Linked DNA regions of Caenorhabditis elegans. The protein of the gene in region 4 purifies or fractionates together with the protein of the main gene of each other region. This does not show direct contact. Each region holds a gene or a part of one and is shown on either strand. Other genes may lie near its edges. The genes, in order: catp-8, C35A5.4, str-207 and dap-3.

Region 1 (10,446 bases), on a different chromosome or scaffold from region 4:
AATATTATTTCAGATTTAATATAGATTTTATTAAATTTTAAATTGAAAATTTCAGTTCCTACGGCCGCACCTTGAAGTTTGGAGTTGAGAAGTCGGATGAAGGACAAAGACCATCGGAACGTCATAAAACTGGTATTCTCACACAAATCGGTGCTCTTCTCGAAAGATCTGCAATCGACACATGGAGAAATCCATCTTTGACAAGAGCAAAAGTAATTCAAAAGTCGATAATGGGACTTTTCATTGGATTACTGTACCTTCAGGTATTTCTAATATAAGTATTCTTCAAACTCGTACTCTTCAGAGCCCACTTACCTCAATCGGAATTTCAAACTTGAACGGAGCTCTATTTTATCTCGTTTGTGAACTCACCTACTCTACAATTTTCGGAATTTTGAACTTTTTGCCAGCCGACTTTCCATTAGTCTCCAGAGAATATCACGATGGTCTTTATTCTGTTTTCTCATATTATGTGGCTCGATGTCTCTCATATCTTCCACTATTTACTGCCGATGGACTTATTATGCTTCTTGTATCATATTGGATGGTCGGATTCTCGAGTTCTATTACACAGGTAATTTTTGAAGGAAAAAAAGTCAAAACTTGAAGTTCAGAGATGTCATATTTTCCTTTCATAATATTGAGAATACTGTATTATGGGGACCCAGAAAAATGCGTTTTTAATTGGCGGCAAAACAATACAAAACACTTTCGAATCCATGGATTTGCCGCCAAATACCTAATGGGACCAAACTTCGAAATACGCATTATTCTGCGTCTCCATAATATTTTTGAAAAATTGGAATTCCAGGTTCTATACGCATGCCTCATCGCCTTCCTCATTGAGCAATCTTCTTCAGCTTGTGGAATCATGATTTCTTGCATTTCGCCGTCTTTACCGGTTTGTAAAAAACTTCAATTAACTTCATAAATCATAGAATTTTCAGATCGCAATGTCAACTGCTGGCCCAATGCTCACACTTCTATCATTGACTGGAGGTCTTTACGCTAATGTTGGTGCACTACCATCATACATCTCGTGGATACAGTATCTCTCGTGGTTCAGATATGGATTTGAGGCTTTTGCAATCAATCAGTGGAGCAGTGTCAATGAACAGAATACAACTATTTGGACTGATGAGGTTAGAAACAGTTTGAAATGCTGTTAATTTTAATTTAATTTTTCAGAAACGTGATTCCGTACTCTCCCAATTGTCATTCCGCGCTGAAATGTTTTATCCGGATCTCTTCATCATGTCTGCATTCATTTTGATCTTCTACACTATTGGTTACGCTGGATTAGCTTTGCGAGTCAGCAAAGCTCGATAGAAACAATTTCTGATGTAAATTTTATACTCGTTACAAATTTGTTGAATGTTTGAATGATGATGATAATTTTATTACTAAAAAAAGACTCAAATAAATACATTGTAAATGAATCTGCAAGATTTCAACAGAAATGTATATATCACAGAAACATTATGCTCTGAAACAGCGACAATGAAATGACTATTTCTGATCTTAGATCATGCGATAGCTTTGGTTCTAAGTGAAGATAAAACCGAAAAAATAAATTAAACAACAGGATGGCAGAAAAAAGATGTTGATAGGGAATGTCAAGGAAGAAGGATAATAAGAAAAACGAGTAATTTAGAACATATCTCCCAGCAGGAAATTCAGACCACGATCGATGATATAACAGATAACAAGATCCGCTGTGACACACATTAGCAACGCATTTCGTAGCTGAAATGAGAGAAGTATGAATAAGGAACACTATTTATAGGATAAAACTTACAGCTTCTGGTAGAACAACTAGTTCAAATTGAATCATGAGATCCGTAGCTTGTCCACTGGCAAGAGTGAAAACTGCTCCTCCTGAGAACATAATACTGTAAAGCATGGCCTTATTCTCGAATAAAGATTCCATGAACGGTCGTCCTCTGTAGTTGACAGCAAATGTGCAAACTTGAAGAGCCATTGAAATTATATAAACCGTAGTGTTCAAAATATTTGGCGTGAATTTTGCTTCCAAATCGACAGGAGCTTTTCTGAAAAAAAAAGTTGAATATTCAAAATTGTGCACGAAGATGGTGTGCACCCGGTGGCAAATCCATCCAGAAGCGACCTTAGATCTTCGCAGGACTATTTCGGCGGGGATGTCGGCCCAAATCACGTACAAACATGACCTGGTTCCTATCCGCCATAAACTCTACAGCGCGGGCACGAACCAGCGACTAACGGGCGACAAGCGCACACGTTAACCATTCGACCACACGGCAATGCCGCCGGAGAGATACAACTCGCGTTTATAAAGAATATGGTTTAGGGCTGGACAGCAAAATACAATTTTCTGCACATTTTCAGGTTTTCTTTAAAACTTACTCTGTATTGGCTTCATGTGCGAGTCCGACAATGTAAAGGAGACAAGAGAAGTGTACAATAAACTGAAGAGTGACAGTCAGAAGAGTATAGGCATTGAAAATATTCGCCATTGGTCGTTGACGAGATAATGTTTTCAGAGGCTGGAATTTTAACATAAAAATTAACAATAAGCTAGATAAAAAACCTTTGATTTTGAAATGAACAAGAAGCATGCTGCAAGAAGAAGTCCTTGAATAGTTGCCTGGGTATCACTGAATTTAACGCCATCCAGATAAAGTGCAGAAAGTGAATAAGCAGAAACAAGAGCATTGAGAGCGAGAATTTTGAACATTTGAAGAGTTGTAACAAGAGTACAACGACCTTGTTTGATGACGTGACAAACTGAAAAAAAATTGAGAAGTGAATGATATTATACAGAGGCACAACATTTTGCACTAAAAGTAATAAATACGGTACCCGGTCTCGATACGACAAATTTTTGGCAAATGTAAAAACGTGTGCGCCTTTGAGGAGTACTGTAGTTTTAAACATTTTTTGCTGCGGAGTTTTCATAGTTTTTCGTTAAAAAATTATTCATTAAAAAACTCTACAACAACAAGAGTTTTGAATCTACAGTACTTTTTAAAGGCGCGCGCCCGTTTGTATTTTAAAAGTTGTCATGTCGAGACCATAGGTTCTGTAGTTTTAGCGCAAAAATCTGGGTAAAATTGTTTGAAAAACTCACTGGATGCAATCGATGTATATTTACTGGTGAATGGCGCAGCAATTGAGGCATCACCCAACTTGATCACTTGAGCTTTTTCCTCTTCTTCCAACTCTTTCATTAGATTATCTAGTCGGGCTTGAGCAGCATTAGCCATTGGTGGTAGGGGAGCTCTCGCGCGGGCTCCAGGAGGAGCATCACGACGAGCTGCGTTAGCCGCTGGAGGTGCTCCTGGGGCACCTGGTCGTTGTGGTAATTGAGCTCCTGAGCGAACGAGTGAACGAGCTTCTTCGATTTTTGCTTTTTTCTCTTTTTCTTTTTCAGCGGCCTTCTCTGCATCATAAGGGTTTGTTAGAAGAGCAACTCCAACGTTAGCATGCTTCAAAGCTCCGACATCATTTGTACCATCTCCACACATAAGAGTAACTTTTCCTAATGATTTTAACTCGTTGATAATTCGTTCTTTTTGTTTTGGAGCCATTCTTGCGAATACTTTAACATGTAGAATAAGCTCTCGTAGGAAAGTGTGCTCATTGTGCACCAAGTGATGGAAAGCTGAACCGGTCAGACAGAATTCGTGAGAATTGAAGAACGCTTTTCTCTCCATTTTATTTTTTGTTTCTGGTTTCAACGGCAATTCGATAGTTCCATCAACAGATTTCCACATCCAGTCAACTCCATCGGCAGGTTCATCAAGAACTAAAGTCGGCAATGACTTTTTGGTGAATTTAAGAACTTTTGATACATGACAAGCTGTTAATGGGTTATCTCCAGTAATCATTGCAACTACATGAGAACTATCCATAATTTCACGAATCATTGTTTTAGTATCACTCTTCAGTGGGCACGATATGACGACAAATCCAGCAAATGCGAGATCATTTTCGAAATTCTCTCGTTTCTTATCGCGAAGTTCTCCAACTCGAGTTTCTCCAAGTTTACGTATTCCCATAGCAAGAACACGAGATCCTTGACGAGTCAGACGAGTATACGTTTCGTCGTAATCAGATGGAAGGTCGGCGTACTGTAAATAGAAATTTAGAAAATGACTATTACGCAGATGTGAAAGTTTTCTATAAATCTATACTAAATGCAAATTAGTACGCGCCTTTAAACTGTAATTTAAAACGCATTGCTTTGGAATTTTCATCGATTTTAATAGTTTTCTAATAAAAATGATAATAACTAAAATAAAGCTATAAAAACAGATAAATTTGAACAAAATTTGAGAAATAATCGATACAAATTCAACAACGATGATTTTTTTTTAAAAATCGAACATTTTCGTTCTTCGTTCTGTTGACTTTCCAAAAATAGCTTACCATCTTGGTTATTTTTCTTATTTTATGAAACAAATTGTGTTTTCTCATGTTTTTTTCTCATTTTTCGTCAACATAAATAAAAATAGGATAAAAATTGAATTGTATGGATAATTTTCTCCGGAAAATCGAAAAAATATAAATTGTTCGTTTTTTATTATTAAGAATTAAAAAACCAAAATTTTTGATTTTCTGTTTCTCCAATTTTTCGATAACAAACATTCGATTTTTCAAAAATTAGCTCAAAATTTTGGCCATTTTTCATTTTTTTTTTAATGAGAAAATTATATGTTTCTTATGGTTTTCTGGAAAATCAAAAATGTTGGCTTTCCATTTTATGATAAGTCAGACAATTTTTTTTTTGAGACAAAGATTTGTCCTGTCGAGACAAAATATAAAATTCTTACCATATTTCTGAGCACTTCTGGAGCACCTTTGACAGCTACAATGAATGTCGTATCAGAAGTTCCAGGTGATTGATATCCAGCAACAACTGTCATTCTCTTCATTGCCGATGAAAAGTGATAACGATGGAAGATTTTAATTCCAGAAATACCCTTGGCTGCTGTTTTAGGCGGCATTACAGCATCTCCTTTTGTTAAATTCCAACCACACCATGAAAGACATGCTTTTTCCAATGGATCTCCAACGAGATCTTCTTCGAATCGAACGAGACTGTGACAAGATGCTAGAACTTGAAGACTTTCATGTGGAAGATCTTCTGCGTTTCGGATCATTCCTTCTTTTTGATTATTCAATGCAACTCCTTCAACAACCAAATTGTCAGTTGTCAATGTTCCTGTTTTGTCAAAACAACAGATATCGACTTTTCCGGCAAATGGAATTCGGAATGGTTCTGTACAAAAAATTCCCAATTTTTGAAGAGCCATCAATGATGAGTTGACAGCAAGTGATAATTCGATTGGAAGCTCCGGTGGGATAACAGAAGTGAGAATAAGTGTACATTCAAGGAACAATTTGTATTTACTCCGAGTCTCGTCAACTGATCCTTTGATCCAAAGATATGCAGCAGCGGCAATTGCGAAAATAAGAAGGAAAAGAATGAAACAGAAGGTTTCCAAATTGTTAGCAGTTGCTTTCTTGACTCCGAACATGATAGTACGGAGGAGTTTTCCTTGAGAAGTGTTGAATCCAGTTCGAATTACATAACAGATGCAGTTTCCATCCGGTGATTTTACCTGCAAATTATTTAGCTGAGAATATGCCTTTTTCTCATTTTCTTAACGATGGAGTACAGAAATTTGGTCACAGGCTTCATTAGGTTCAAAATGGCCTGGTTCAAAGATTTGATGAAAAAAAATTACTTCCAGCGAAAATCTCAAATTTTGTGTACAAGTCGCGGAAGGAAGTATTTTGGCAATTTATCACGCGTTGTTTCGTTGATTGAAATGCCTTTTTAGTCAACAGAGTGATAATTTTTAAAAAATTAATTTGCGACGCTGAAAAATTGAAAAAAAATATATCAGATTTAACTGAAAATAAGTTTTTTTCTCAAAAATTTGAACCGCCATAACTTTTTAAAAGAAATTTTCACAATGTATGATCACGAAAGTCGGTATTTTTAACCAATTTGGGAATAATATATCTAATGTCCAAAAATTAAAGAAATATAAAATACATTTTTGGTGACTCTAAAAACGTTGTATTTTCAAAATCTTACCATTCCCTCTGCAGCTTTTCCTGGTGCTGTGTGCTGAACAATCTTGGTTCCTCCGAAGATAACGTGTAATCTGCTGTCTGTTTCAATATCAAAGATCTTATCTTTTTCAACATCCTCAATTGGTTCTTTCATTTGTGGAACACTTTCTCCAGTTAACATCGATTCATCAACGATACAGGGTCCACGTAGAAGCAGAAGATCACATGGAACACATTCTTCTTCAGCACCTCTTCCAATTGAAACGATATCTCCGGCCACTAACTCTTCAATCTTGATTTTTTGCCATTTCTTGCCACGGAGCACGTTAATCATATACGTTTTATTTCCCATATTCCGGATTTCAGACATATTCTTCATTTGCTGTTTGACGAGTGTTGCTTCGAATGTCATAAGCATGAAAAGTGTAAAAAGTGAATAATACCACATATCTTCCAGACACCACAATCCAACACAGAACACTTGAAAGACGAAGAATGGAGCTGTAGCTCTTTCAATGAACATTTCCAAGAATTGTGGAACAATCATTTCAGTTTTGTTGTCTCCGAGAAGATATTTAGCATCTTTAACATGCTCTTCAACTTCGAATCCGTGTGATTTTTGAAAGAAAACCATTGGTTTCGCAGTATCAAGAGTTTTCGTCTGAAATTCTCTGCTCTCTTCATCCCAAGTATAGTGAACTCTTTGAAATTCGAACCATAACTTTGTTTGTTTATCACGCTGAAATAATTCATTTGAAGAAAATGTTTCTAAATAGTTGTGACTAACCGTTGTTCTCATAAGTTTAACTAATTCCGGCCATCCGTTATTTTGTGTAGGGATAACACACACATGAGAAGCAATACGAACATCTTCTTGCTTTGAACACATGAGGAAACATCGAACAGGCATCATCCAATGACAGAAAAGAAGAACTAGTGCAAGAATCACAAAAATTGCTGCATATCCCAACATTCCAAGTTCATAATATTCTTCATAGCCGAAAATATTGAGCCAGACATATGTCCAGATTGCAGTGATTACTGAAAGATTATATTTATTTTTAAAAATTCCATCTCATTAACTTATTCTTTGACTCACTTGTAAAAGGAGGAACATATAAATGAGTTGCTATAGACCTTAAATTGTATGGTATAATAGTCTCGACTAGTTGGTCGACACCCATCTTTCCGGGCTACAGGACCCTGCAAAATCGATTTTTGTATTTAGAAACAATGCGAATTTGAATTAAAGTATAATTGTAAACGATATGGAAACGTTGGGAGAGTTGAATCATGTCACAGTCATGGATTTAAAATGATACGTTTATTTCAGATTCTCCTGCGTCGTTTCTGTACAGAAAGAAAATAAATTTAGCATAAATACAAAAATATAACAAAAAGAGCAATAATGTTGAACAAAAACCATGATAAGGTACGGGTAAGAGAGGCCAGACGGAAAGAGATACCCAAGAAAACAGGAGACGCGGGGATCGGTAAGAGAATTTCGGGGCTGGAGAATGAGAGAAATAGACGGGAAAGTGGGGACACCAGGAGTTGGACCTATTCGATGTAACATTATTAGTTCATCACTTCTTCGCTGGTGGCTTTGTTGAAAATGGCATTCCGATATCTTTGCCGCGCAACTTGACTCCAAGCGCACGCTCCATTTTTGCCATGATCTGTTGATTTGGGACAGCCTTTCCGCTTTCGTATTCGCCGACTACTTGCGGCTTCTCATTAATTTGCTGAAATAAAATGTTCAATTAAAGATCTCATTTTAAAATTAACTAACCGTTGAAAGATCTTTCTGCGTCCAACCTTTCGTGGCACGAGCCTGCTGCATGACTTTTCCGAGGGACAGAGCAACTTTCTGGTGATGAAGCTCCTCCGTTTCTTCATCAAGCCGCAGAGTGTTCTTGTTGGCGCTGTGCTGGCGATTGCCACCAGACATCGTCTTCTTTTCGGTCGAAATATCAACTCCAGCACGCTGAGCAGCATTCAATTGAGCAGCCGATTTCAATGTCTTGTTCACTGGTCCTCGCTTCGTAATCATTGTGACCGAGTTTGGATCAGTGTCAGAGGTTGGGCAGCCATACTTGGACATTTTGATAAGATGGAAGTTTGTTGGAGACTTGTTCTGAAAGGAAGTTATTGTATTTATAGTATGTCAGAAACGATGAAATATTGCACAATATGATCCCGGAGGAAGCAAATAAATTAATGTTCAACGATATTTTCAGTTTTTTTTTAAATTCTGACACTAATAACAATGAAACGATTTCATTCTTACTAGTGGCAGAATATATAATCATGGACTACGAAAAAACGTTTTATTTGTGCCATTTCAAAAAACATTTAAAACTTGACAGACGGAAGGAAGAACTCTTTTCAATCGACGATTGAACACGTAATTGCTCTCTGTATGAACAATTGTCATAAAAATTATTCAAATTTCAAGAAAAAAGAAAACACTCAGAAAATACGTAAAATTTCAGTCCAAAAACAAAAAGAGAATCGTTTATTTTTCGAGAAAGTTCCACGGAGCCATGAGGTTTGTGTGCAAACACTGTGACGCGCAATTGCGGAGCGAATTTCAAAATCATGTTTTTTTGTTTGCAATTTGTTTGTATTTTGCAACATTTTCACTCTCTTGAACCCTTCTCCTTGATATTTTTCTATTCAGAACGTTTTTAAAGCTTTATCAAATTACATTCTCAGGAGTAATCGTAAATAATCTACTCATGAAAACCAGAAAACTCTATTCCAATATAGCAATAAAATCAAGTGTTGTTTTCAGGGATAAAATGGATGGTATCGATCCTCGCCGCATGAGTTCAAAGATGGTTGCGGACAATTTATGTAGACAGCCGGTTAGCAAAGATGATGCGATCTGAAAAAGTAACATTATTTCAGGTTACAGCGGACAAAATCGAGCAACTTCGGAACCGAGAGGAGAAAAGTGCAACGGTGCAATGCAGAGAGAATCATGCCGTTGCCGAAGAGCTAAAGAAACAGATAAGCGAGCTCGCCCATATTCGGAAATCTGAAACTGTCGATTCTAAAATTAAAAAACTGGAATCTGCTGTTACGAGTTTGAGAGAACAATCGAAACCGCTAAAAGTAGGTCATAACTTTTGAAAACCTCTAGTAATTGTATTTTTTGTTCAGAAAGCTCTAAACACCGCTCTCTATTCAACGGACACTGAATTACTAGAACTTGTCGGTCAAACGACGCGTGAGACTCTTCTCGAAATAAATGGAGGTGCTGTAATTGACCCGGTTGATGCTGGAAATAAAATTGGAGATGCTCTGAAACAAATCGAGACTTCTGTGAAAGCTCATACAGTGGATAAAAGTAACTGGTGCGATGAATGGATTGTCGATGATAATATGGATGAGATCAATGAAATGTACGACGATATGTACAAAGACGCCCGACTCTGTAAGGAAACTAAATTTTTAGTTCAAATTGATTTAAAATTAAACATAACTTTATATGTTTGCTTCAGCGGAAAACCATAGATTTGCTTCACGCCTTGCCCTATTCCACCGTCTGACTCCTGAGCTGGTTTTTGCGAGCAGCTCGAAAAAAGACGATGATGGTCCTCCTCATTATAAAAAATTCATTCAGCCTGCAGTTTATCCATTTAATATTGGTTGCGATTTCATGTTCGTTGGAATGTTTCTGTAATTTATATTTTTATTTTTATTTCAGTGTCCAACTAGTTGATGTTGAACGTGTTGAGAAACAGAAAAAGATCCGCGAGAAGGTTGAGAGAGGTGCGAAGAGAAAAGAACCCGCAGCACTTGTCAAAGTAAGCGATAAGGCGAGAAACGTTCAAAGTGAAGAGGTTTCAATCTCAAAAGAGCTTCAACATGTTCTGAAAGTTCTGAAAAAAGAGCTTAAAACTCGGAAGACGGATCAAATCGACTATTACGAACTCATCACAAATCCGACTAGTTTCTCTAGAACGGTAAGCTCATTTTTGGTTAAATAACTATTTTACGGGACATTTTCCAGGTTGAAAATATGTTCTACGTCTCGTATTTGATGCGCGATCGTGAAGTTTACCTGCTAGAAGAAAACGGTGTTCCAATTCTGAGTACTGTTTTTATATTTAATTGTCTGTAAATATTTAATTTCTTTCAGAAAAACCTACCGCTGTGAATGATCAAGAAAAATTGCAAAATGATGAACGCAACTCTACCCACGGACTTACTCCTTTGAGCTTTGAGCAATGGAAAACGCTCTCTCAAAAATACAAAACCACCATTATTGAGCCACTCGATGGTTAATTTCAGTTTTAGAAATCAACCCCTTTGAATGCCCATATCATTTTCTATGTTTTAATGTCAAAACCGGTATAAAAATGAATCTTC
Region 2 (7,228 bases), on a different chromosome or scaffold from region 4:
TTTGCTGCAATTGGGATAATGACAGTGAGATGGGCTCCATTGAAAGAAACTGCATTTTTCATTGCTCTTCTTACATGCTTCACTGGTGTAGCTTCAATGATCACTAATTCAGCAACTGGACTCATTTGTGAAAGCTCATTTGGTTGGCAATATTCCTATTATTTTCATGCCTTTGCAGGACTTTTGCTTTTTGCACTTTGGGCATGGATATATATTGACGATCCGCAAGATTCAAAACGAATATCTGGAAAAGAGCTGGGAAGAATTCATAAGAATAAATCTGCAGCTCATTTAGACAAGAATGGAGATATTCCTTATTGGGTTAGAGTTTATTAATTGAAATCATTTTAATTTCAAAACCTTCAGAAAATTATCAAAAGTCCTGTGATACTTATTGTGTGGCTGAATGCTTTTTTTGAAATGACTGCCGTTATATTTTTTGCCACTTACATGCCGATATATCTCCATCAAGTTCTTAAATACTCGGTACAAGAAACCGGTTTTTACGTAGCTGTTATTTTAGGTTTCAATATTCCACTAAGACTGGTATCGGCCGCATTCAGCGACAGAATTACGTAAGTTTTTAGTTTTAATTAGAAGTGGCAAGCCAGACGTCCGGCGTCCAGTTTTCCAGATGCTAGACGATCCGGCGTCAAATTTCTCTACCTTTTGGAAGTTTGAAAAATCTGGAACATAAAATGAAAATGTTAAAAATGGCGCTTGAAAAACCGGACGCCGGCTTACCAGCCATGGTTTAATGAACATTTAAAAAATGCTTTTTGAAACTGTCACTCAAAAGTGTTTAATAAAAAAAGTTTATTTTCAGGTTTGTCTCTGAAAAATGGAAAATTATAATTTTTAACACTATTTCCGTCGGAGTATCTGGTCTTACACTTGCACTAGTTGGGTAAGTCTAATGTAATTTTCAATTTTCGATCCTCTTGTTTTCAGATTTATTCCATCAGAAGAAAATTGGAAAAGTTTTATTTGCATTGTGATGGTTATGATGTTTGTTGCTGTTAATGTTGGAGGATTTTATAAATGTGCAGCTCTTCACGCGAGGTTTGATAAACATAAATTTTTAGTTAAGATGCATGTTTTCAGACAGCATGCTCATGTTGTAATTGCTGCAATTCAATTCACTAAATGCCTTGCACTGTTCTCAGCTCCTGCTGTGGTTGCATTCTTTGTAGAAACAGAATCGAATAGAGAGGAATGGATTCCAGTTTTTGTTAGTTTGGGAGTTTCTATGTTTATTGTGAGTTCAATGTTGAAATTCAAATTTAAATCAAATTATTACCCAGGCAAACGCAATATCAGTTTTTATATTCACGGACCAGCCAGCATCTTGGACAGAACCAGAAAAAGCCACATATACTGAGGTTCCAGTTGAAGACCTGAAATGTTGACGAAGCATGTATGTACGTTCCTGTATGAGAAACACATATACTTTATAAAGACCTCACTGTGTGAATTTTCAAATGTACTGTCCCTGTTCATTTTATAAATACGAAACAAAAAAAAAGAATAATTATCAAACATTTCTGTTCACTATTGAATATCCACAGAGTTACTTTCCAGTAGGTTTCGGAGACATCGCCTGAAAATAAGATTCCATACACATTTGTAATCAAATATCTTACGGGTTGGTATGCACTTGGCGAATGTGTACGATTTGGGCTCGGCGGCGGCTCTAATGCCTTGTTAGTCTGAATATTGAATTTTTAAATGATCAGTTCCTTGAAAATAAACTCACCGTTTTTGGAGAATGATTGCCACCGTCTTTTGTTGGCGTTGGTGCTGTAGTTTTCGGTGGTAACTTCGGTGATGGTGGAGCCGACTTTTCCTGACTGTTCTGAAAATGTTATCAAATTTGAATTTTGGAAAAACTGGCAATTTTGAAAACCAAACCTTCTTTGGTGACTTGGGAGAATGAGACAGTGCCTTGGAAACTGTCTTGACTTGAGATAGGGTCTCATTCTGAAAAATGGTAATTTGAAAATATATTGTAAAATTGTGATACATTTTCTACAGGCTTCTTAGTCGGTGTTGGCGTTTTTGTTGGAGTGGCTGGCTTTGCTGGAGACGGAGTACTATTACTGGGCTGAAAAATGCAATTTGTGTAGGAGGTTGTGCTTCGTCTTCAAGTGTTAAACTTACCGTAACCGATTGTGTCTTCTTTGTAGTCGGAGTCGGAGTTCTATCAAATGGATTGAGATTTCGAAACATCTTCATTACTCCACCTTCACGCTTATCACGCTGATTTTTGTTATCCTTGGATCCTGGAGTTTTGGAACGAGCACGTAGTGGCGATGGACGGCGTATTATGGGCTTCTTCGACATTTCTTCGCATACTTCTTTTGAGGCATTCTGCAAAAAAAAGTGTGTATAAAAATGATCGGAAAAAACAAGCAAACCTGGATGATTGTCTTTTCGATTTTCTTAAACTCCAACATTTGTTGCTCATTCTTCGTTTTTCTTATACCACTGTCATCTTTCCATGTGGCCGACCCAGGAACTCCGTGTAAAATAAACTGCTTGGCTGAAATGATGTTGGAAAATTAAAGTTACAGTTGTATCCACGCTTTTTTTTTTTTTAAATCATAACAGTTAGCATACGTCTTGGAGTCGTTTTTTGTAAATAAACAGCCGCGTGGAAGACTAAGTCGTACTACAATTACGTGAAATGCTCTATTATATTTCAAAAATTAATAGAAAATAGTGTTGAAATTTGCAAATCAACACAATTTTTACACTGTTTCTACAGTTGTTGAGAAACTTTATCGGTTTCAAGAAAACAAAACGCACGTCTACCATCTCCTGACTTTTCTTCAATTCCGGTATACTTCAGCATAATTCGCAATTTCTCATAACTTCTTTCGTTGTGGAAAATTGCTTCAGGAGAAAAAGTCTGGCAAATTTGAGGAGCCAGTAAAATCGACATCTTATCTTTCCGTGGACTGAAATAATATATTCAACATTGCCTGAATATTTAAAACATACCGATTGAAAAAATCACTCTGTCTTTCTGCCGAATATGCATTATATGGTCTGTGATAAACCTGAAAATTATACTATAAGGCGCACAGTTTTTACGATAGATTTGTTAATGTTTTAACATTAATTCGCAATTTTGTTTTCCAGAAAACATACTTGTAGTTTGAAACATTTTTATATTTGTAAGAAAAACTCAAATTAATAGAACGTGACATAAAAATTGAGCAGGTAATTCAGAATTTGTATTGCTACCTATGAGATTTGTTCTTGATAGGATTTGATGACGACCTTCATTTTTCATTACGTAAAAACATTTTACCGATGCCATAGTTTTAACCAAAATATACCTGAATACAAACAGAATTGGGCATTCGAATAGCAGCGTTAACAGATGTCTGACGTGGCGGTATGATTCCATGCACAACATCAATAAAATACGAGTAATTGTCTGTAGTTTGTACTTCGAATGCAACTGGATGATCTCCATGATTGATAAGTGTTAGTACACGACGCTCGGGTGGACGATCCGCCTGAAAATTTGATTCTAGGCTGATTTTCCCAAAGAAATTTAAGTTGATTGTGTTATTTATTCCATACACAAACCTTTCTAGAAAACTCCAAATAGTTATAATTGGTGGAGACCAAAATTCGTGGCTCGATCAACTTCAAATCTGGGTTATTGTCTGTCCACAAGAATCCATCATTTGATAGGTAGCACGGTGTGGCTTTATCTTCTTCACGACTTTTCCTTATCTTCTGAACAGCAGGTTCGGCCACTTTTTTTTTCTTTCCTGATTTTGAATAAGTCGCCATTTTGTATCAGGGAAGTGTTGAGGAATGACTGATACTTTATTGAATAAATATGCCACAAATATAATTTCTAAAAAATTCCAAATCACTCAGATATGTAGAATTCCATATCGTCACGCGAAAAATTAAAATCGAAAAAAATGACTGGGCATAATAGGACGGTCTTCTAAAATTAAAAAAAAAACGTGAAAACTTAAAACGTCTCTGCGTCTCTTTTTTGCAACACTCTCTCGTTTTTATTTGTGAATTACTAAATAAATAATTCGATTGAAGTCGAAAAACCATCTAAAAATGGCAGTAGGACTAGGAGACCGTATAATACACAGTAATTTCACAAGATTTTGGGATGCCATCTTAAAAACGGATTTATTTCAATGGGTATCGGCGGGCAAAACAATGTACATACGGTAGTCTTTTTTGTTATATATCACTTTGTTTTCAGCGAATATCATCTTTTTATTTTCATTTTCCTGTTAAAAGTTGTTTAAAAACTAGCACAAATGAACTTGCTTTCATTAAAAATGTATTTATAAATTGTACCCATCTGGGTAAAACCGCGCGCCGTTAAGAAGGAATGTCTCGTGAGAAATTAGGCTATCTAAAATCAACTATTTTATGCCAATTTTATTTTAAGGGTTCATTCTAAACCCGTACAAAAAAATAACATAAATCAAATAAAACATTATTGAATTTTCTGTTTTTGCTTGAAACAGAATTTTAAAATCCATTTTACTGTCAATACGATCCCGATGGTGGTTGTGATTAATATGAAACCAACAAAAACTATAATATCAAGCATATAGAATGAAATAAAAGACATCTGACGAGAGCATGGATCAAGGTTTGGCAGCTCTCCGTATTTTGCTCCAAATTCAGCATGCTTCACAAGTAGAGCATGTGGGGAAACAGGTTGATCTTGAAGTTGTTGTGAGAGAATTTCAGCATTTATTTTATACCTGAATTGTGAAAAAAATATTAAATTATATTTTTCACAAACACACCTTTCATCGTTTAAAATGGTGTTTATTGCGAATCTTAACTTTTCAAAACTGCTCAAATCATATTTGCTCAAAGTTATTGATCCATTGTGCCTGGACAACGTTTTTGAATTTCTCAATTGATCAGCAAAAAGAGGAATTAAAACTGCTGGTTTTCCCATGTAACTTAATTCTGTCACACTTCCTAATCCAGCATGTGTAACAAATGCAGAAAGACGGGAATCAGCTAAAATTCAATCAATCAAGTTGTGTTGGGGATCAGAAAAAAAAACTAACCTAACAGCGCAGTTTGTGGAACCCATTTTGAGAAATGAAGATTTGGCAAGTGCTTAGCAAAACTGACGTCATCTTCTTCATATTTCCAGATAAATGTAACATTTGGAAATGATTTGATAACTTGGACAAGTGTATTTCTGTAAAATAATATACAACTTTCGACTCAGTTTTCATTAAGAAAAACTCACTTATATACATCAGGCATGTCTTTCGAGAAAATCATAGAGCCAAATGAAATAAGAATATTTTGCTGTCTCTCACTGATAATTTTATCATATTTCTCATTTAGTTTTTTCTGCTTCAATTGAGTAACATTAACAGATATTCCTCCAATTAAAACAGTTTTAGTGAGAATTGGTCGAGCATAATCAAGATATGGATTGGAATTCATAAACATGAAAGGTGCGCGGACTGACATTTCCTGAAAACTTGATTTTTTGTGGTATTACCATCTCATTCAAAGGTTTAACATAATTAAAAGTTGCTGTATAACTTACATAGAAGTCAATTTTTCTTTCTGGATCACTGAATGAAGTCATTCGAGGCATGTCAACAAACAGTGTGAAAAAAACATCTCCCAGTGTGTTTCCAAGACGTTCCCAAAAATTCATGTCATCCCCAAATGAGGAAATCATACCTGAAATAAAATAATTCTTACTTCTCAGAATAATTCCTTACTTGGCAAAACAGTTGGTGACGATGGCTCCCCAATCCATCTGCTCATTTGTGTATGATGTGTCATTGAAAGTGAAGGTAATAAAGCTTTAATTCCAAGATACTCAGCGATGGCTGAAATGAAAAATAAATAATGAAAAAACAGAACAATCTCGGCAATTCGCATCGTACATTCTTCGCAGTTTCCTCGTACATTTAGGAGGAAGTCCGGAATGTACGACAAAACTGTGAGTGTAAAAAGGAGACACGACCAATATACGAGGAACATACGACAAGTTTAGGAGAGAAACAAAATGTAACGTTGCTGCGCTCGTAGGTCGTCGCGCATTCATCGCACATTCACTGGTGATTCGAGAGCGTACAACACCTACTTTTCTTTCCAGTAATAAGACGGCCCAACCAACGGTCACCGCCGTGGAGAGTGAGGAGATTAAATGAAACATCAACTCAGCGTTCAAGGATAGAACGGGTAAAATAATGAGGTACGAATCGACCAAGTATTTTCCTCATGTCGAGCAATTTCAAGACATCTGCTATAAATATATAATGTTTCCCCAAACGTGCTTGCAAGCTCACGGGTAGTTTTAAATTGATCCGATTCAACACTGGCTTTTAGTTCATTCAAATCCAACTCATGTGGTCTTTTGGGCATTTCTTTTAATTTACAGAAAAGTCTCTAATTCCGGAACGATCGAACCAACTCTGTATGTTTTTACACAAGGAAGCAGGTACATCATAAACTTTTATCAGAAGAGTTTTTGAATCCTACATTGTGGTGTGCGTCAGGAGCATGTATAACAGAACATGCCGAAGATGAATTGCAGTATATACATCTCAAGTGAACATGAACCGAGAGAAAGGGAGAGGGATGGGGGTTAATTACTGCAAAGACTTTTTTCTGCTTATCAATCACTAGGAGGGAGTAAACACCGAAATTGATCTACGGCTCACAAGAACAGATAAAAAATAGGACAAGACCTTTTTACCAACCTAATAGTTCCAAGTATAAATTATCCTATTTCATTCTATCGAGAAAAATAGTTAAAAAATAGAAAATTTGTGGAAAATATTCAAAACATCAAGTAAACAGAGCTGTAGAAACCTCAATATACGCACGTGTTGTGCCTTTGTCGTACATTCCTCGTAGGTTCCTGGGGATATACGAGGAATGTACGACTAACTCTTGGCTTGAGAGGCGCAACATGCGGGGAATGTACGAGAAAAATGCGAGGAATGTACGATGCGAATTGCCGAGTATATGAATGCACTTACGGAAAGCAGTTGGACAGAGAAACTCGAAGACGATGGCATCGAAATTTCTATTCTTTAATTCATCCAAAACGGACAAATCTTTTTTCAAATCCTCATAGAGTTGAACAAACATTTTGACGAATGTTCTAACTGCAGGAACAAATTGGATCGCTGTTGCATCTTCTGTCCAGAACTTTGAGTAATTTGAAGTAAACCCAAGG
Region 3 (6,308 bases), on a different chromosome or scaffold from region 4:
TAGACAAGAACTGCGGCGAAGATGATGCTTTTGATTGAAGGATCACGGACGTAGAGGACGTAATAGCGGAATAGGTAACAATCAATGAGCCAGATCAAATTGTGCTCCAAGGAGCTTCCCAAAAACATGTGACCTGCATAGCAAGCAGTTGGACCAATCAAGGTGCAAGGGCCTGTCGGAATTATAGTGACTGATGACCCGTCGGTGAGGATTCTAAAGGAAATAAGGTTAATGAGCTTAATAATAGGTATGTATTTAGTTTCAAAGAACTTCCAAGAGGACTACATATGCGACTTTTTCAGATGTTCATAACCAATTTCTTTCTGAAAACCCAAAAAACATAACAATTTTTGGTTTTGATGTTCAAGAAAACCTAGGTAATTAAATGTTTGCTAGTTTTGGCAACTTCTGTATGCCACAACAATTTTTTTTTGTAAAAAAAAACATTGTTTGCTCACACATGGGAAATTGACTATTTAAAAATTATTTCAGTTACACTAAATTTAGATGATCACCATTAAGTTTTTCTTTGCTTAAGTTGCTTGGCAAAAATCAAAAAAATCCCGGAAATTGTCTGGAAACTCTAGAAAAATTACGCAAAAATTCACAATATTCCGAAATTGAACCATAACCACAAACAAGTAATAAGGCTAATCGAGCAAACTGTAACAGTAAAATATCAAACCAACTGGTAACCAAGTTGATTTATTGACAAATCGAAATAGGGTGCAATTTTTCAAATTCCGCTAGAAAATAATTGAAAAATCAAAAGAACATCCAAGTGGCGCGATGCATTACAAAAATGTTATCAAATCTTCTTCGAAATTTTAAAATTTAAGAAAAGGTGTAATGAGACAATTATCAATTTTGTTATTTTCCGTATTTAATACAACAAGTAACGAAAACCGGCAATATCTGGTTGTATGCTCCCATACCTTTGCATAACAAAGAAGTTCGCCAAAAAAGACACAATATCGGTCAATGACTTGTTGGTGATTAATGCAGATCATCAGAGAAAATGTACAGTTTTTTGTGCATTGATGATAAAATTTCAAAATTTGGAAACAAATGTTACGATGCTGAACACATTTTTGGAATACCATCCAGTCGAGCATGATTCTAGTGATATTATTGTGGTAGCTATTTAGTTTCTAGATTTCGAGATATTCTCGACAATGACTTGGGAGGCAGAAACATTGTTGTTATTCGGAAAATGCAGACAACGTGACACTAATTCCCAGTCAGCCATATATTAGGTCTCCAAATAAGTTCCTGGTCAAAATGGAAAAATGTGTTCGCTGCGTATCGATTTTTATGAACCTGTGGGAATTTATGTTATCAACCATAATCTTTCATTTGACAACAGTCACAAATTTTTTTGCTCACTCGGAACCCATTTTTTTCAGGCATTTTTCGATTTCGTTTCTTTTCAGCGTTGAGTTGTGGTTTGTGTTCGGATTTTGCTTAATTTAGTACACAATGCGAGAATACAAAAATTTTGTTTTATTTCGTTCAAAAAAAAATTTGTTGATCGTCAAAAAATCTTTAAAAACATTTTTGACAAAAATTCTTTATTTTTCATACAAAAATAATGTAACCAACTGCAAACTATTTTAAAACATACAAAACATTTCAATTTAGTACGTCACACTCAAATGATAATAAAATCGTAAACTTTTGAGGTTTTGAGTATTTCTCAAGAATACAATTTCAAACTCAAATGTTTGCTATGTGTAAAAATGGTTAACACATGGATTACACATCATTTTTGTATAAAAATTGAAATAATTGGCACTTTTTGACTGTTTAAAAAATTGTTTCAAAAGTTTATGAAAAATTTTACTCATATTTGGTCCTTTTGGCACCACTGGAGTGATTTTCAATATTTTCCCCACTGGTGCTACTCTGCCATTAAGTTAACGCTTTTACATTTAACTTCTTCGAAATATTTTACCAAATTGTTTTTATGAACGAGATATTATTGAAAAAATGCATATCTGGGATGGAAAATTATTTTTTAAAGGCAAATACATAAATATATACTTCACGCTACACTCTTAGTCGGCTGAGATCTAAATCCTTGAACTTCTCAAACCAGTTGTTTACTCTGAATTTAAATTCTAACACCCATTAATGTTATTATCAATTTAATTTAATGTTTATCAATGTTTATTGTTTATTGATTCGAAAAAAATAGGACACCAAAACTTTTATTCATTTTCACAATCTTGTAACTTTTGAAAGCTCTGTCACATTTGCAGGTACATCGGGAGTTTGAAACATTTTAGAAACTGCACTCAAGAATACACGAAGATAGGATCGAAGTGAATTTCTATAGCATTTCACCATAATCAATGTTGGAAGTGGGTCAACCGCAGGAAACAGGGCAATTGTCACAGTGACAATCCCAGTAAAAGAGCCTACGTCAATTGTTAAAAATGACAATAAAAACATCGCGCATCCTGGAATGTACATAAGAAATAATGGAATCAAAGTTTGTGCAATCAATGAGTAGAATAATTGTTTTTGAAGCCCACGAGTGTTTTGAGAAACATTTTGTTTGCAGATCTTTTGAAGTGATATATAGCATCTGAAGCCAAAGTAAAATACAGTTATTAATGAAACTATCTGTAAATAGGATGATGATAAAAATGAACCAACTTATTTAACTTACTGTTATAAGAATATTCACAATAATTGCAATGAATGATGGATAGTAGATATCTGTGATTCCATCGGAATTGGTTTCGTAGAAGTACGGTGCAATATATAGGTTTTTGTCAATATCTAGATTGAAGACATTCATTATTTCGTTTCTAAAATAGTTTGAAAAAATTATCCAGTGCAACATGTTGTCGTGACTTGGGTTTGTCAGTTAGATAATCTTGCAAAAATTATTTTCCTAACAATGTCCTTCTATGAAGCTTAATGTTTACCTCAAATATTCATCGGCACTCGGCCTTGGGGAACACGGAAAGTATGTTACAAACCACCAAATAGCTCCACACAACACTGGAACTAATGCCCACCACAAAATTCTAAATCCATTGAACTTCTCGAGCCATATGTTACCGCTAATTGCCCAGTACCTATAAGTGAACTGGATACAAAACATTGCCAATAGCGAACCGACAAATGCATTGTAAAATGCTGAAAATGCATAATCTATGAACGATCACGGTAAGGAAACTTACAAACAAGCACCATAAGCACATTCCGATCTAGATAGCATTTTTCTACATTTATAACCATTGCAAATGCTGATCCAAAAGAATGAAACATCTTAAATTTTTATTTTCATTTCATCGAGTTTTTCGGAACTACCACACTTACTGGTTGCACTAGTAACTCCAGAACAGAATAATTAATCTCAAAAAGAGAAGTGAGAATTATCAAATTTTTGTATGCGCGCATTTGTTGAGGTGACTTATTCACCACCAGAGAAATTGTTAGCGAATTGAGCAACAATCCAATTACAGATCCAATCAGCTGGTAATTTTGAAATAACTTCCAGTCGAGCATGATCTTAGTGATATTATTGCGGTGATATTATGATTTTTTTAGTTTTCAAGATATTCTCCAATGACTTTGGAGACAGAAACAATGTTGTTATTCTGAAAATGCAGACAACGTTATACCAGTCACCCATATTAATGAGACGGATTGATGATAGAAGTATCAACAACAAAAGTCGCGGTCAATACAAAAATAATGTATACGTAATTAGATTTTAAGCATGGATGCACGGCTTCTGAGAAATTTTCAGTAATATGCAATCACCGATTGCTGTAAATTTAGGCAGTTTTCATATGAACCATTCATGTAATTCGCCAATTAAGTATTCCGCAAGTCATTTTATATGAAAATAAATATTTCAAGGTTTGAGACACGTTCAGCTTAAAAAGTGAAAACTTTGCCACTATCAGAATTTTTGGAAATTCTCTAAATTGTCGAATAGCATTTGTTGCGCGCATATTTTTATATACTACTAATGGCAATTTTTTGAATCAATGATTTTCAAAGATTTATTGAAAAATAAAGTAACACATGATAAATGAAATAATGTGTTGGATATGTGACAAAATGATACAGTGAAAAGAATTTCAGACAGTTTTTGGGCAAGACATTTCAATTGCATTGCTTGACTGCGTAATCGAAAGATTTCCACCTTTAAGAATATTTATTACTTATTAAAAACTCAAAAATTCTTAAAAAATTTCGATCAAACACATTAAATTGCTCTCGTCTGAGTCATTGCTATAGAGTTATCTTGAGAAGGTTGAAGCATCTTGGTAATAGTTTTGAAAAACAAGTAAATGTAGAATTGGATTGCTGTCCGATAACTCTTCACCATAATCAATGTTGGAAGTGGATCAATTGCGGGAAAGATTGCCAGTGTAACTGTTACAATTCCGCTTAGTGAACCAACATCGATTTCCAAAAATGTGAAACAGTACATGGCAGCAACCGGAAAGTGCATCAAAAACAATGGAATAACTGTTTGAATAACTAATGAGTAGAATAACTGATTTTGAAGTTTTTGAGTATTCTGAGAAACGAGTGCCCCTTGTTCACGTAGTGATGAGTAACATTTGATGCCAAAATAAAACACGGTTATAACAGAGATATTCTTAAACAAAAATTAATTATTTGTTAGATTATAACTACAAGCACATACAACTAAAACAGTCGTAAGAATGATGGAAATGAAGGATGGATAATATATATCTGTAGTTCCATCTGTGTTTACCTCATAAAAATACGGAGCGGCATACAAGTTTTCTTCGATCGACAAATTGAATTCTTTCATTACACTATCTCTGAAATTCGAAATATTACCAAAAACTGTACAAGTTCTAGATAAAAAAGTTCACCTTAAATATTCATCAGTACTTGGCCGCTTAGCACATGGAAAATAAGCAACAAGCCACCAAATAAGACCACAAAAAATTGAAGGCAAAGTCCAAAGAAATATTCTAAGCCCTTCAAATTCTTTCAGATGTTTGTTTCCACTAACTGCCCAGTATCGATAAATAAACTGAACGCTGAAAATCACTAAAAAGGAGCCAAAAAATGCACAGTACATAGCTAAAAATATGAAAAATTATTTGTAGATAAATAAAAACCTTTTATTACCAAGTAGAACTTTAAGTACACCGTATTCAAGAAAAGAGTCTTCAACATTGACTATCAATGCGAATGTAAATCCGAACGAATGAATAACCTGAAGGAGAACATTTTGAAATCACTTCGAATACAGCTAGATATATTCAGTAATGTTCAAAGTTTTGAGGGTTTCCGGGTTCATTTCATCCGACACACTGCAACTTTTTTCGAACGAGGGTTGAGAAAAAATGCGAAAAATCGGTGTTTGCACACAATACACCGCATTTTACGACATTTTCTACTTGCTTTGTTTTCTTGTGTTTTTCACCGATTTTTCCCGTGTTTTCTTATTAAAACTGATAAATACATATTTTTTGTTAATGCTAAAATAATTTCCAGATGAAAAAATTGTGAATTCAGCCGGCAAGTAGCGGTGAAAGTGGTCAATGTAATATGATGGATTACGGGAATACAAAACCCAAACTTTTCCCCAAACATGATACATATGATGTTTAGATGCCAAAAGTACCTGATTTTCATAACGAGACCGCTGAAAAAGTTTTGAGATTTTCAAAATTCAACTTTTTTGGTAAAAAAGTCGAGATTTTGGCACAAAATGTTGAATTTTGAAAATCTAAAAACTTTTTTAGCTGTCTCGTTATGAAAATCAGGTACTTTCAGCATCTTAAAAGCATATATATCATGTTTCAGAAAAAGTTTGGGTTTTGTATAGCCGTAATCCATCATATTACATTGCCCACTTTCACTGCTACTTGCCGACTGAATTCACAATTTTTGCACTTGGAAATTGTATTAGCATCTGCAAAAAATATTTATTTATTTGTTTTGATAAGAAAAAACGGAAAAAATCGGTGACAAATGAAAGAAAACACGCAGAAAACAAAGCAAGATAAATGGCCGCTGAAATTTGTCGGGGACTCGGCCATGGCCTAGAAACCTTTTTGCCTCGTCCCTCGTTCGAAAAAAGTTGCAGTGCGACAAAGACAATTTAATAAAACTTACTGGTCGAACTGTCACTTCCAACACTGCATAGAAGCATTCAGAAATGGCTACAAGAATAATCAAGTTCTTGTATGTACCCAATTCTTTGTGCGATTTTTCGGTTATCAGAAAAATAAGCAGCAAGTTGTGCAAAAGAGCAAAAATAACTCCGAAAATTTGAGCACGCTTTTGAAAGTTTT
Region 4 (6,390 bases):
TCGAATAATCAATAATTTCCTGTCATTTCTCGATATTTTACATAAATTAATTTTTTTTTCATCAAAATCAACTTAAAAATCAGGTTTAAAAAACCATATTTAGAATACTCAAAAGTTTTTATTCTTCGATTTTCCGATGTTCAATTTTTCGAATTCCAATAAATTGAACATTTGCTTTTTTTTTTGGGTGAAACCTGGTAGTTTAAAAGGGTTTTTCAATTCAAAAATGTGTTCAACTCACTCAAAACTAGATCGATCAACTATTCTTGGCGGTGGTTTCTGTGGCGGACCACTGCCTCCTTTTCTTCTATGCGTCACCATGGTTTAACCTGAAAAATGTGGATTGAAAAAATGTTTCTAACAAGATTAACAAATAACAAGTGGATGGGATATCAACCAATCTAATCAATTTTTTTGAAAAAAAAGTTCAAAATCTGTAAATTTCATAGAAAAAAAAACAAAAAAACGAGAATTAAAAAAAAAAGAATAAAATGAAAACAAACAATGAAAAAAAACAATAGATAGCTAAAATCCTAATAAATACAAAAATTATTTCAATTTTCACTTTAAATCTCTATCTAGAAAGCATCATTCTTTTTTCTTTCCATCATCATCTGATCTCTTTTCCCTACTTCTCCATCGTCCTTTTCCACCACCACGTCCTCCTTCATCTTTCTTATTCTCTTCACCTCCTCCTCCTTCACGTCCACTTCCCTCACTCTTCACCACTTTCACCGAATATTCACTGCTCAAATCACCAAGTGGTCCATCGGCTCCACGAATATTGGCTGAAGTGATGCGTGCTTTTCTCTTGTCCACTCGTACTCCAAATCGTTCCCTCACGTGCTCCGTCTGCTCCTGATCTGATTTCAATTTTCCATTGTTGATAAAATTCAAAAGATCCTGAATTTCATCTCGGAATCGAGCATTCTGCTTCGCAAAATCCTTTACAATCTTCTCATCAGAATCTCCCTGAGCAATTGTAACTCTCCAATCGGGACGAACAGCCTTCTGAAGTCTCACAAGATTTGCACAGTCGGATAATCTTCCAAGTCCACCAAAATAGTTCAAAAGCTTCTGAATGTTATCGTTCAGTGCCAAATAAAAAGTGAATGGTCCAAAGTGACGAGTTGAGGTTACGACATGGAATTTACCAGATTCATTGATACGATCAAATACGAGTTGACTCAAACGAACATAGGCCGGATCGTCAGGCTCGTAAAACCAGCAAGCCCAGTCTAGAACGAATTCGTGATCATTCTTATCAAGAGCATTTTGTAGATTTGGATCCGAGAAGAGTGGTGGAGGATTCACAGAACGATTCGGTTTTTGATAATAAGTTCTGTTCATTCGATCATGTTCTTCTGGATTCGCAGTTCTCAATGTACCATCGGGTTCTCTCACGACTACAGTACGATCCTGGTCGGTCGCATCGAAAGTGATATCAGTGAATACGAATTTGCTAGTGTCAAAATCCTTCAATTCGAGATCTTTGGCGAGGATCTGAACACTCTCCTCGCGAGGTTCTTTCACTGGAACAAATTGTAGGAATCTGCGAGCTTCTTCACGCATACGCTCTCGAGTCTGGAAAAAAATAAGTCAAATTGAATAAATAGCTTCTCATTTTGGTGAGTAGTTTCTAGTCTAGCAGATCCAAGTTTATCAGAAACTCGACTGTAAATCGACAAATGCGGTAAATTATAAATCATTTTCAAACAAACCTTTTCAAGTCGTTCTTCAGTCATAAGAGCGAAATGAGATCTTTGTTGAATCGAAGTTCTTCGCGGTCTGAACACTTTGTGCTCCAAATCAATTTCTGTTAAATCCGTCAGTAGCTTTTGCACTTCCTTCTCAACGAAGAGTTTCTCAACATTGATGTCGTCTGGTGTTTTAGAGTTACTGAAAATGAATCATATTAAATATATATTTTACAAAATTTAAAATTCAAATACCTTGCTTTGATCCATTGCGATGCAGATCGAACCTCGGCTGAAAGCCGGGTTAATGCCGAAACTCGAGGTTTCAGCTGGAGCATGGAGATCTGGATCTGGAAATTGATGAATAAAAATAGAATAAGATACAGAGAATAAATATGAAATCCCGATCAGAACAGGAACAACGAACAACAAAAACAATGGCCAGTTGTATAATAAAAACATTATTTTTCATTCTCTATTCATAACAAATAAAACTAGAGACCTAAAAATTAAAAAAAAACAGAAACACTCAACAAAAAACGTAAATTATAATGATTTAAATCAGTTGAACGCACAAAGCCTCTCGTAATAATATGGATTGAATGCGCTGAGATGCATAAGTTGTTTCCTTCCTTCCTCGCTACGAGCTGCAAACAATTTGGAAATTGCAATATAATGGGATTGGCGGTCTCTCACCTGCTTTTGATGCTAACCAGTTCTTGTTCACATAGTAATTATAGATTGCATCTGTTTCGGCTTCCGTATAATTTGACGTTTCAATTGGAACGAATGGCTGAAAAATTAGTTTTCAAGATAATATATATGCTTTCAATTTTACCTCAACATATTCAAATCCTTCTTCTCCAAACAATTCCAATGGAGTGTGCCTGGAGACTCCGAGATGATCCCTGGCGTCTGCAACCTCTTTCTTATCTGCAACCATCAGAACACATCCATTAGTCCAATCATTTTCGATCATTCGCCGGTAATGTACAACAAGAGTAAGATCCGAAGGTGGTGCATAGGTTCTATCAGCTCGTTTCACCAAAGTTTTTCCCCACAGAGAATTCGCATCATCAATCGCCACTAGAACCTTCAGTTTGTCATCTTTTGCGTGGCGTCGGAGCTCTCGGAAGATTGCACCAACACAATCACTGGCAAGGAACGGAGCAGAGATTCCCATTTCAATAATTTCAGTGATAGGTTTTCCTTTCAACGTTCGTTCACTTTTCGACCATTCATAATCTCTTTCAGTGAGCAACTCTCCGAGAATCTTCCAGATATGTTGGTTTTGTTGCTTGAAATTTTGGAGAATAGAAACAGAATTCGATGGATCATTGATACGGCCTTGTACAAAAGATGACATCTCAATTTCTTTTACTCTTCTTGTCAGCTCCATTGCACTTCTTAGATGAACAATTGCCCATTTATTATTATAAGCATGATGAACAGCTTGATTGAGAGTAACCGACTTTCCGGTTCCGAAAGCTCCCCATAACACGAGGCGAAGAGCTGGAAGACTTTTATCCACAACTCGCATACAGCTTGCTACTTCTGCCATTGGTTCTCGGATCTGAAAATATATTTATTGAATATAATATTCCATTGATTATCGCCGACTAACCAAGGTAACAACTTCTCCCAACGTATCCATCTGTTTAGAAAGTGGAGCTGGCAGATGATTTCTCATATTAAGCTGTTTGGCAACTGGCATCTCAATTTCGGAAAGAGTTCCAACATCTGCTAACTGGGAATTGGATCGTCTCGAAATATGCAGCTGGCGAGCCGGAAGTCGGCGAGCGATCTGGCACATTAGGTTTCCACACGGCTTCATTCTGTAAAACTTGTCTGAAGTTCCGGGAGAAATCTGGTAAAAGTAGATAAATTTCGACAAAACGTAAATTGAATTAGAAACTGGATCACAAACTAGGTGAAATTTTTAATTAAAACTGGAAAACAAAACAATGAACAAGAACAGGAGGAAATCAACAAAAAATTATTAAACGTGAGCGTATTGTAGATCATCACTGTTTTCATATTCAGCCATATCCAAGGCAACTTCGCAGCTTTCTCGAACAACACGCTCCTCATCATTGACGTATTGCTTCAAAATCTCCGTACATTCTTCGTTGGCAATTGCTCCAAGAGCTTCAGCACATTCGTGACGGACCATGCAATTTTCAGTTGACAGTAGAAGACGATCCTTCAATTCTTGAGTGGCAACAGGCGACTGAAGTTGTCCTAAAACGTATGCGACTTCGTGACGGAACAAAGCACTATCTTCACAGTAGAGACCTTGAGCAAGAGCTTTGATGGATTTATCTGTCTTAATGTTTCTTAGACTGAACATCGCACGATATCTGTCGAAAAGTGGAAGTGAAGCGTCGATCAGAGTGGCTGCGAGCTCTTCGACGTCGGATGTTGAAGCTGATGGTGTTGGATCTACAAATTAAACTTTTATAAGCAAAATATGTTTAATTGAATCGCTTACCAACGCTATCATAAGGGCTGTTGGTATCCTTTCCACTTTTTTCAACCCATTCCACCCTTCCTAATGCAATTTGGCATGTCTCGGAAACTTCTGGACACGGATCTTGTGCATATTTTCGGAGGACATCTTTGACTGAAGGATCAGCAATTGCTCCCAACGCTTCACCGGCTTCATGGCGGACCATTGGCTCTTGCTTCTCGTCCTCAAGAACACTCACAAGTGTTGGAATGGCGTGCTTGTTCTGCATTTGACCCAAGCAGTAAGCCAACTCATGCTTCAGAAGTGCTGATTCGTCATTCAGACATTTTCCAATCCAGTCAACAGAACGATCACATCCAATATTCCGGAGAATAAATAGAGCTCGGAAACGAGCTTTCAGAGGTTTCCTGAAAATTTTCATTTATTAATTGGAAAAAAATCTACAAGATTACTTTGTGTCGTTTAATGCCTCTCCAAAGCTGTCGATTTCGGCATCAGAGAACTTTTGCGAAGCGACCATCTTTCCCGTTGTTCGAGTTGAATCTAAAATTTTATTCATTAATTTTCAAATAACATTGTCAACAAGGAGAGAGAAAGAGAATAATACGAACGGAACAAAATAAAAATGAGAGTGTAAGATCAGAAATGAGGAGAGCAAAAAAGGTGAAACAGTTAAAATGAGGAAAAATTAGAGAAACATTTCTCTACCAATCAGCGAGTTGAAGTTGATCGGTTGGCCAGTCTTCGTATGATCCATCTGGAAGGTAGCGGCGGACAATGATCGGGATACGGCGTTGTTTAAGCTCCTTGCGAGCAATCTCCAATGGATCGGTCTCTCCTTCAAGTTCAACCATAACCGGAGCTCCCATGGCGATTTGGAGAGCGCGAGTGCCAAGAACTCGAGCTCGTTCGTATTTTGTCATGAATGGAGTTGTCACATGCTCACTAGTCGGAACAGCCTTTCCTTGATCGAAAAGCTCGAAATTCTCGTCCACGTTGTCATCGTCCTCGTCCTCATTGTCAGGGCGTTGTGGATCTTCTTCGATCACGTCCTCCATTTCGTTGTCGTCAACGAAATCATCATTATCCATATCTTGATAATCGTCCTCATCGGCCATTCTGAGTCTGCAAAATTGAATTTACTAGTTATTTCTTAACATTTATAAGAAAAAACCGATAATCAAATGAAATACAAGAGTGATACAAATATAAATAGGAAAATCAATACAGAACCAGGCCTAAAGATATTTCTACACGGATGATTCAACATTAGATTATTGTAACAGTGAAAAATTATCAATTTGTTAAATATTAAAACTTTTAAAGATATTTTCAATTTATTCCATTCAGGAAAAGCAAAAAAGCAAAAGAAAGAAAATTGGTTCTACGAAATTGTTCAGGTGGATTTACGTTAAACAAGACGCAAGGCGTAACGGTGGAACGTCGTTGTGAGAGGCAATTTGAATTCTAGTGAAGGTCTCACAGCGAAAGTCACCTACAGTAACCCAGAATTTTAGGATTACCTGTCGCGAAGAAGGAGAATATACATATTCATCCTATCACGACTTTTTATAGTAAGGGGTTCAAAAGCAAATGAACACAGAAATGAAGAAGTAAAATGGTAACGGAAATGGTCGGGTCTTGCTTAGTATCACGAGCTGATAATAAGCCATTTTTGAAGGGGCCGGGAGTGTCGCGAATACGCAGAATACTGATATTCCGCCGATCACGACTTAAGAAATGATATTAATACCCAGGAAATGCGTCAAGGAAATATTAAAGAATTATTATGATTATTACGAAGTCTTTCCGTATTCTAAATGCTCACGACAATCCACGGAAGTCATCAACAACGACAAAGCCGGGAAACTCCTGTTTGAAAGCCGCGCCAAAAGACACACACGTCACGAGTGTTACAGTACTACCACACATGCACATCAAACCCCAACACGTCGACACCGCGCAAGGAAATCGTCACTTCTTCGTTTTACTCTCGGACCGGCAGGTCGCATGTTAAATATATGAGCTTTATCATTTTTATCATTCAACGGATTTATTAGTAATAAATTATGTAATTCTACCACTTTTGAACCTATACCGATACGAAACATTACCGCGATTTTCAATTTCGTATTTTCTTTTCCCCTTTTTCGCGGAATTTGTCGTTTTCGATGCTCGTTTTGTGTGTTATTTTTATATTTTTGTTTCAAATATTAATGTCGC

The links.
Region 1: the proteins of dap-3 (region 4) and catp-8 fractionate together in Caenorhabditis elegans (co-fractionation; one large-scale study listed by BioGRID). This does not show direct contact.
Region 2: the proteins of dap-3 (region 4) and C35A5.4 fractionate together in Caenorhabditis elegans (co-fractionation; one large-scale study listed by BioGRID). This does not show direct contact.
Region 3: the proteins of dap-3 (region 4) and str-207 fractionate together in Caenorhabditis elegans (co-fractionation; one large-scale study listed by BioGRID). This does not show direct contact.

The regions. Positions count from the first base shown.
Region 1 is NC_003282.8:11,471,983-11,482,428, forward strand, and holds catp-8 (putative manganese-transporting ATPase catp-8), read right to left. Parts: upstream 7,270-10,446; 5' UTR 7,251-7,269; coding exon 7,166-7,250; intron 7,108-7,165; coding exon 6,854-7,107; intron 6,806-6,853; coding exon 6,089-6,805; intron 5,607-6,088; coding exon 4,815-5,606; intron 4,113-4,814; coding exon 3,110-4,112; intron 2,767-3,109; coding exon 2,570-2,766; intron 2,526-2,569; coding exon 2,386-2,525; intron 2,271-2,385; exon of another isoform or gene 2,052-2,270; coding exon 1,799-2,051; intron 1,747-1,798; coding exon 1,651-1,746; 3' UTR 1,381-1,650; downstream 1-1,380. Other genes in the region: wht-2 (ABC transporter domain-containing protein), read left to right, coding at 56-263, 305-574, 812-901, 948-1,142, 1,189-1,329; mbf-1 (HTH cro/C1-type domain-containing protein), read right to left, coding at 7,653-7,811, 7,859-8,170; nse-4 (Non-structural maintenance of chromosomes element 4), read left to right, coding at 8,871-8,936, 8,980-9,186, 9,235-9,508, 9,576-9,735, 9,782-10,040, 10,088-10,169, 10,217-10,362.
Region 2 is NC_003283.11:10,493,667-10,500,894, reverse strand, and holds C35A5.4 (Major sperm protein), read right to left. Parts: upstream 3,863-7,228; 5' UTR 3,811-3,862; coding exon 3,601-3,810; intron 3,528-3,600; coding exon 3,345-3,527; intron 3,063-3,344; coding exon 3,004-3,062; intron 2,961-3,003; coding exon 2,809-2,960; intron 2,543-2,808; coding exon 2,418-2,542; intron 2,371-2,417; coding exon 2,161-2,370; intron 2,105-2,160; coding exon 2,024-2,104; intron 1,981-2,023; coding exon 1,912-1,980; intron 1,856-1,911; coding exon 1,757-1,855; intron 1,710-1,756; coding exon 1,644-1,709; intron 1,601-1,643; coding exon 1,571-1,600; 3' UTR 1,479-1,570; downstream 1-1,478. Other genes in the region: C35A5.3 (Major facilitator superfamily (MFS) profile domain-containing protein), read left to right, coding at 1-321, 367-575, 827-907, 952-1,062, 1,105-1,258, 1,305-1,409; ugt-33 (glucuronosyltransferase), read right to left, coding at 4,490-4,763, 4,809-5,031, 5,082-5,218, 5,270-5,502, 5,579-5,718, 5,760-5,870, 7,029-7,228.
Region 3 is NC_003283.11:4,948,948-4,955,255, reverse strand, and holds str-207 (Seven TM Receptor), read right to left. Parts: upstream 3,523-6,308; coding exon 3,334-3,522; intron 3,283-3,333; coding exon 3,195-3,282; intron 3,151-3,194; coding exon 2,937-3,150; intron 2,817-2,936; coding exon 2,675-2,816; intron 2,629-2,674; coding exon 2,221-2,628; downstream 1-2,220. Other genes in the region: str-209 (Serpentine receptor class r-10), read right to left, coding at 4,232-4,630, 4,679-4,820, 4,875-5,088, 5,137-5,224, 6,130-6,308.
Region 4 is NC_003280.10:10,578,275-10,584,664, reverse strand, and holds dap-3 (Small ribosomal subunit protein mS29), read right to left. Parts: upstream 3,533-6,390; 5' UTR 3,532-3,532; coding exon 3,322-3,531; intron 3,271-3,321; coding exon 2,536-3,270; intron 2,491-2,535; coding exon 2,394-2,490; intron 2,345-2,393; coding exon 2,259-2,344; 3' UTR 2,146-2,258; downstream 1-2,145. Other genes in the region: Alpha-1,2-mannosyltransferase algn-9, read right to left, coding at 242-321; mrps-22 (Mitochondrial Ribosomal Protein, Small), read right to left, coding at 589-1,584, 1,722-1,899, 1,953-2,035; dohh-1 (Deoxyhypusine hydroxylase), read right to left, coding at 3,697-4,139, 4,189-4,574, 4,620-4,687; rpb-6 (putative DNA-directed RNA polymerases I, II, and III subunit RPABC2), read right to left, coding at 4,872-5,285.